Linked DNA regions of Nothobranchius furzeri. The protein of the gene in region 1 interacts with the protein of each later gene in a biochemical or structural test. Links are inferred from orthologs where the notes say so. Each region holds a gene or a part of one and is shown in the gene's direction. Other genes may lie near its edges.

Evidence for each region. The genes of interacting proteins can lie anywhere in the genome.
Region 2: of the proteins of uba1 (region 1) and ube2d4, one has a biochemical effect on the other in vitro, tested with the Homo sapiens proteins (4 studies listed by BioGRID). The link is inferred for Nothobranchius furzeri from reciprocal best matches to the Homo sapiens genes UBA1 and UBE2D4.

Annotation. Positions count from the first base shown.
Region 1 is NC_091755.1:24,209,568-24,213,424, reverse strand, and holds part of uba1 (ubiquitin-like modifier-activating enzyme 1), read left to right. Parts: coding exon 1-69; intron 70-213; coding exon 214-410; intron 411-485; coding exon 486-550; intron 551-749; coding exon 750-945; intron 946-1,189; coding exon 1,190-1,264; intron 1,265-1,353; coding exon 1,354-1,543; intron 1,544-1,629; coding exon 1,630-1,715; intron 1,716-2,959; coding exon 2,960-3,052; intron 3,053-3,138; coding exon 3,139-3,330; intron 3,331-3,377; exon of another isoform or gene 3,378-3,498; intron 3,499-3,609; coding exon 3,610-3,711; intron 3,712-3,792; coding exon 3,793-3,857. UniProt on the Homo sapiens protein: Catalyzes the first step in ubiquitin conjugation to mark cellular proteins for degradation through the ubiquitin-proteasome system.
Region 2 is NC_091757.1:38,230,605-38,234,650, forward strand, and holds the start of ube2d4 (ubiquitin-conjugating enzyme E2 D4), read left to right. Parts: upstream 1-1,246; 5' UTR 1,247-1,513; coding exon 1,514-1,537; intron 1,538-4,046. UniProt on the Homo sapiens protein: Accepts ubiquitin from the E1 complex and catalyzes its covalent attachment to other proteins. In vitro able to promote polyubiquitination using all 7 ubiquitin Lys residues, but may prefer 'Lys-11' and 'Lys-48'-linked polyubiquitination.

The DNA of each region.
Region 1 (3,857 bases):
AGGTCTACGATGATGACTTCTTTGAGAGCCTCGATGGCGTCGCCAATGCACTAGACAATGTTGATGCACGTAAGATGAACTTTAAATTGCTTAAAACATGCGCACGCTGATGAAGGAATGCAGTTTGGCTTTTTTTCTGTTACAAACCATCTTTTTATAGCTGCTTGTTTGTGTTTACACCTCCGTTGCTTTGCTTGTATTCCTTACACTAAGGCATGTACATGGATCGGAGGTGTGTGTACTACCGTAAACCCCTGTTGGAGTCAGGCACTTTGGGTACCAAAGGCAATGTCCAGGTCGTCATCCCCTTCCTCACAGAGTCCTACAGCTCCAGCCAAGACCCCCCTGAGAAGTCCATCCCCATCTGTACTTTGAAAAACTTCCCAAATGCCATCGAGCACACACTGCAGGTCAGCAGGAGCTCAATGATGCAAACTCCAACATGAGTGGACTTGGTGGCTGATCTTTGTTTCTTCTCTGTTCAGTGGGCCCGGGATGAGTTCGAGGGACTTTTCAAACAGTCTCCAGAAAATGCTATGCAGTACCTCACGTAAGTTACTTCCTCTGTGGAGTGTCTGTCATACTTTTTGGGTTATAGCTACTGTGTGATGTTGAGTGTCTTTGGAGTTTGTGGTCAGAGCAGCATATCTAAAAGTATTAGCTAAAAGGTCTGCTAGTAAGATTTGACTTTGGTTAAACAGTCATGAGAAAATGCAAAATGACCGCTGTTATGCTTGTAAACCTTGCAGAGATCCTAAGTTTATGGAGCGCACTCTAAAACTCCCTGGAGCTCAACCTGTGGAGGTGCTGGAGGCCGTGTACAAGACCCTGGTCACAGACTGTCCCCACAGCTGGGCTGACTGCGTCGCCTGGGCTCGCAACCACTGGCAGTGCCAATACAGCAACAACATTCGTCAGTTACTGCACAATTTCCCCCCACAGCAGGTAAATACTGGTGTCATGTCTGGATTAGCTTCAGACTTTTTTCTGTAGCCGGAGAAAAGTTGAGTTAGAAGTTTGAGTCCAGATTGTCCCCATCCTCTGATGGACCTTGTGCCACTCTTCACCTACAGTTAATATGTTATAAACCATTGTTAATACATCAGCTGCCTTTTTAGCTCAATTCTTCACCAGTATTTATTGTATACATTTTAGAATGTTGTGTCTTAACAGCCATAATCTCTTCCAGCTCACGAGCTCAGGTGCCCCCTTCTGGTCTGGCCCAAAGAGATGTCCTCACCCCTTAGAATTCAGCACTAGCAACGTAAGTGTGTTTTCTAGTGATCTTCAGGAATGAACATAACTCTGCAGCATATCTGTATCACATCAAGAATTCATGGTGTTGGGTCTTAGGAGCTTCACATGGATTACGTCGTGGCGGGAGCTAACCTGTTTGCTCAGACGTACGGCCTGCCAGGCAGCACCGACCGTGCCGGAGTGGTCAAGATCTTGCAGGATGTTAAGGTGCCGATTTTTTCTCCTCGCTCGGGCGTAAAAATCCACGTGTCTGATCAGGAGCTGCAAAACAGTAATTCCTCTGTTGGTAAGACCAATGTGGAAAAGTTTAAAGTCACTGACTCTACACCATTCATCTGGGAGTGACGTAACCATCAATCTCTCGATGTACAGATGACTCCAAACTGGAAGAACTGAAGTCCCAGTTGCCTTTGCCTGAGGCTTTCCAGTTCAAACTCAATGCCATTGACTTTGAAAAGGTACGTTGTGTTTCTCTGCTTTGGGCTTAGAGTGGGATTGTTTATTGTGTGGTTTAATGCTTGGTTTACAAGTGAGAATAAGTCTAAAATAAAGTTTCCTTCTAAATGAGTTTATTGTTAAAGGTGCTCTGTACTCAGACGTGTGCTGTAGCGGTTATGCAAATGTTGTTTTAGACTGTTATTGGCACGTTACAAATATTTGCATCCCTTTGCTGTCACAGTTATGTAAACAAATCCTGCCTTTACTGATGTCTTGAGTTCTGTTTTTAACCAGATTAATTAGATTAAAATATTAGGACTTAATCTGTAGGATTATGATTCTTTCAAAATGGAAATTAAAACAATTGACAGTAATTATTGGCTCCCTGAGTGAACAGAGCCAATGTCTCATCAGAATAAGTGCCATTACCTTCAGCTCCGGTGTGTGTATGATAGGGATATGAATCTTAGAGCAACTCAAGATTTGATTCGATTTAGATTCTCTGGGTGTCTGTTCGATTCAGAATCGATTCTCGATTTAAACCAATTCACAATCAATGCTAACAAAGAGTGTCAGTTCTAGGATTAAATACTTTGTGGTACAAGTTAGTTAAAGCTATGGACATTTTTATTTTACTTTAAACTGGTCATGCTCAAAAAATGCAAATTTACAAGGTAAACTAAAGTGATTCTAAAACCGTAAACGGAAGCAATCTTTTGACTAAAAGGCAACATTTATTTTTGCTTACCTTGTAAAATATAACACATCTTTAGTTACCTGACAGTAGCTTTGAAAGTAATACGGTCAAATACTTTTCAAGTATGTGTGGAAACATTTGAATCCTCAACCTGTTTTAAAAAAGTGCCTTAGATTTCTTACAAAGGAAAATGTGTTCTCTCATTTATCAATAACTTCAAATAAATACATGAGTAATCCTGAGCCCTCACTTATCAACTTAGAAAATAAATATGAAAATATCTCAAATTAATTAGTATGGAAAAATTACATTCAAGTGCCCACTTATCAGCAGATTCAAAAAGAAATCATCTCAATTTATGGGACCACAAAAGTAAACAGAGTACTAACTCTCCTAACAAAGATTTAAAAAAAAAAACAGACAAAAGTGCATCTCAAACCTGTAACATGCCAAACATTTGAGTTCTTGGGGTCGATTCTGAATCTTTATAAATAAGAATCCCAATTCAGACTTGAATCGATTTTTTTTCAGCACCTCTAGTTTATGAACATGGGTTTGTTTTAACAGGACGACGATACAAATTTCCACATGGACTTCATTGTAGCAGCCTCTAACCTGAGGGCAGAGAACTACGACATTCCACCTGCTGACAGACACAAGGTGAGGAGCGGCTGATGCAGTTTAAACTCCACTCTCCCTATAAACTATCTTCTTATCCTTAATCTAATCTCTTCTGCTGCTTCCAGAGCAAACTGATTGCTGGCAAAATCATTCCTGCTATTGCCACCACCACATCCGCGGTGGTCGGCCTGGTGTGCTTGGAGCTCATCAAGATTGTCCAAGGTCACAAAAAGCTGGAGTCATACAAAAACGGGTTCATGAACCTGGCTCTGCCTTTCTTCGGCTTCTCTGAGCCCATCGCTGCTCCCAAACATAAGGTGAGTGCACCTGCTGTGCTTTCTTTTAAAGTGTTGGGAAGTTAGGACTCCGGTGATGATCCAGCCATGCTAATACTGATGCACCAGGCAGGTGCACGACGTCTGTCTGGGTGTACATGAGTGCAACTCACCTTCTCACGCTGATGGTATCAGTGTGTGCTGAGGAGAAACTGATTAACTTAACAAGCCTGCTCTTCATTCATTGCAGAAATTATGAACGTCTAAATGTTTGTGTTGAAATTTCAAGCAGCTCCTGATGACCTGTGTCTTTTTTAACAGTACTACGAGATCGACTGGACGCTCTGGGATCGCTTTGAGGTCACAGGGCTGCAGCCTAACGGGGAAGAAATGACACTCCGACAGTTTTTGGACTACTTTAAAGTATGTTTTAGTTTTTCATGTTGCCTCTTTTTTATTTTGATTTCTGAAAAAGTTTAATGATTGTCCTTTCATATTTTCCAGAACGAGCATAAGTTGGAGATCACCATGCTTTCTCAGGGAGTGTCCATGCTCTACTCATTTTTCAT
Region 2 (4,046 bases), on another chromosome or scaffold:
CCGTGGAGAGAGGGCTTTCTCTGTCTGTGCACCGAAGCTGTGGAACGCATTACCACTGCTAGTGAGGCTAGCACCAACAGCTAGCATTTTTAAATCACGCCTGAAAACTCACTACTTCAACCTAGCTTATACAACATAATTATGAACCTCACTGACATCTGCACTGTTTATAAACTGACTCCACAATTATCGACTTCCGTATTATTGAGGTTCTTTGTAAAATGTTTTTTCCTATTTTTACTTCACCCTGTGTCTTATTGATTTTTAGCTGTTATTTTTGGGAATTTTGTTGTATTTCCTTTTTATCTTTTATCTGTGTTCGACATGTTTATATAACGCCTGTTTAATTAACCAACATTTTTAGTGTACAGCGCCTTGTTTGGTTGTAATGCCTTGTGAATGCGCTTTATAAATAAAATTGGATTGGATTGGATTGGATATGGTACCAGCTAACGTCCTACGGTACCTCTTAGCCAATAGCGGTGTCAGATTCTGAGCAACTACAGCAATCAATTTCCCTCTGGGATTAATAACGTATTTTTGAACTGAATTTAATTAAAATTCAAATGCAGTGCAGAGTTTTTACCCGACAACAGCACAACACTGACAGTTTTAGGCAGAAAATTTAAATTTTAACTAAATTGCACTAAAGTGCAAAACTATTGACTGCATGTGTCTGCAGCATGATTAGACACGCATTTATATAGTTTATCAGGGAAAAAAAGGTTGATTTGGGGTGACTTGCTCTTTAACAACAGCCTCATCACTCCTACTAAATTTTGGCTTGCCATTGTTAAAACAAAATACAGAAAGACAAAATTGCGAAATTGCCCATCTGGATAAAGTGAATTTGATTGGGGTTAGAAAATAAGTAATCATTCATCTATCACCCACATGCAGTAAGTAGCTATTTTCATGTCACTAAAATGCATTAATGTTTTACTGAACTGAAGAGGGAATTGGGGGCCCAGTGTATCCCATATTTGTCAATCTTAGTATTTTTATACGCTTTTTCGATAAGCCTAAGCACTTTTGAAACCTGTACTTTTTACTTCTACCCAAGTATCATGCTTGAATTGATCCTTCAACTTCAACAGAAGTCTTTAAACCCCCTAGTATCTAAACTTGAGTAGTAAATATGTATATTTTTAAAGCCTCTGTTCTGTAGTCAATAAAATGACCCTTAAAATAGAAATCGTGACACTACCGACAGTGCCATTGTAGTTTTTAAACGAAAGCTCGCGATAGTAACTGTTTTCTCGGCACCGAGAAGAGAGAGGAATAGAAAGCTAAATATCTAAGTTGTTTTGTAGCTCTCTGACGAACCGAAAATTAATAGGTCGTGGGGAAATATTTGTCATAGAGCGAAAAAGCCGAAATTTACTGGATGTTAGACGTAATTTCATACCTGTAACTGAAGTGAGGTTTGATAGAACGCGGCTACAGAATCCAAATTGTATGTCTAAGGTGCTAACTGTTAGCTGACAGGCTACCTAGCATAGCCGCCGAAGCAATGGCGTTGAAAAGAATTCAGAAGGTGAGTGTTTATATTTATTAAGTTTAAGACATGATTCAGATTCGATTTTTCTTCCTCTTTTCGAACCGTTTTGATAAAGTACATGTGTGTGGTGTTTTAGAGGTGAACTAGCTACGCCGTTGAGCGTTTTGTTCATTTAAAAAATAATTCAAAGACAAAGGCGAGCTGACCAACGGTGGCCCGGTTTGTGCTTGGCTAACATTAACGTAACTACCCAATTAAGCTTTCATTTGGGTTATTACATCCTGCTCGTCTGACATTTTTCATATTAATCCTGAAACTTTGATAAGGACTCTGGAGTAAGAAGTTGTTACTGTTACTTCGTGGGAGGTTAGCTTTCCTGCTAACGGTTGTAACGTGTAGTCCTTGCCTGGATTTTGTTCTTGATCACTAATTTATCAGTCACATTTATCGTTTTAGTTTACCTTGTAAAATTATGTATGACGACGTATAAATTCGCTGAATGACAGCTGCTCGATTGTTGCCAAAACTGAACCCTAGAGTCAGTGTTGCCATATATGGAATGGCAAATGGGGCACTGGAACAGGCCATGGTGTGTATTTATATAATAGGCTTCCTTACATGAGATGTTAAATAACAGGCTTAATTTCTGTTCAAGCACCGTGTTTTGCTGTCTGTGCTTTTGTGTGTGATGCAAATGTAGATTGGTTACTTGGGCTGTGGACTGAGTTAATTTGATTTAGTTTCGTTTTTGTCCATTTTGTGTTGTATTTTTAATATTTGTAGTTATTATGTGTTTGCTAAACTAAACAGCTTGTCCTTATTTTCTGGAAGTATGTCTATAAAACAACATTTTGTGTTGCACAATGATGTCATGTCTGAAGTTGAATTTTATTTGTACTGAAGATAAAAGAGGAAAAGTGTTGCAAATAGGGCTGCACTGTGCATCGCAAATGTATCGTCATCACACTATCAGCATACACAATACTCATATTGCAAAGAACAGAAAAAAACTGCAATAAAGGATCATCTTAATTTTTTTCTACACATAATAAAGCATATTGTCAGTCAAACTGAAGCATTACGTTTTTGACTGATCAAATAGTCCTTCACCTGTTTGGCCAATTGGGTGAGTTCTTATAGGTTAGATACCGCCACCTAGGTAGACAGCACTTCATTTGGATGGCTAGCAAACACCAGAGTTAGCTGTGTTCTGCTCTTTCTGCCGACTATTCTTTTCCTGGGATCCCCTGAGTCTTTATTTTATTTTTATGATTTGGTTTTTGATACATTTTTTTTGTTCTTGAGTTACTATTTATGTATTGCAAGTCATATAATCATCGCAAAAATAATCACTGTAATTGTGCATCGTAGGTTTTCCTAATATTGTGCAGCCCTAGTGTTAAATACATTGTTTTGCAGGAACTTCAACCACAAGTTGTTGTAGGAATGTATAAATGAATATAAAACTTTGCAGCTCTGACAAATACCTCTCCATATCTTTAAACCGCAGATGTTACAGTGCTTGCTTTAACAGATATGTTCACATAAATGAACCCTGCTGTATGTTTATTGCAGCATTTAATTTGTAACTGTTACTTACACAAGCTGTTGTCTTTTTTTCCCTAATATATGAACTTGAGAAACTGAAAAGGCACATTTTGTAGTAAAAGCATGAAATTCTGCAAAAGTGTTTTAAAGAGCAAGTCAAAGAATGGTGATGTAGGACTTGGGAGTGCAGGCTGCTGCCTGAGGGGTGGTTGGAGACGGTGTCTCCATGCTGCTTTGTTTTGGTCACTTATGTGCGTGAGGCGAGTGGTGTTACGACCCTTCCTGGGGAGTTTGGCTCGTGTGCAAAAAGGAAGGGACAATAACACAGGATTTAAAAGTTAAAATGATGATCAGGTTTATTTACAACAACAACAAAAAACCATAAATCTTTCCATCCACAGGTTGGGAATAATAAAACTAATTCTGCCTGTGGGGAATTAAAACAAAAGTACAAATAACTAGGGATGTCCCGCAGGGCAAAGATTACTGGGTTCTGGACCAAAATAAGAATCTCCAAAGGTCCAAACTCTAAACTGGGTGGTTAAACCAAACTCAAGGTGAAATTTTAAACTAAACCGAAAACCCACGACACTCTAAATGTAATAAAAGGGAGATCTACGCCACAAAAAAGATGAACTCTAAACCAAATCGTAACAGCTTATCCTATCGCAAGAAGCTGTTAGCGAAAATGCTAACAGTAGCTTTACCAACATTAAGTTCAAGTTACCAAGTTTAAATAAACCAAAAATACCCAGCAGCAAACAGACCAGCATGGAGGAGAGACTGCTACCACAAAAACAGCTCTCCTAATGTCTGAAAGAAGCTCCTTTATGAAGGGAGAAACTCTCCCGGTGATTTTCTACATCTGCGGTAGACACGAAGCAGCGCATTTGATCCCAGAAGTTGTTGTCCGTTGCCGGGAGATGAAGGCGGGCAAAACAGGCAAAGAATCTAGTAGCAGACGGACATTGTTCCAGTTCTTCGGTATTTGGCGGAG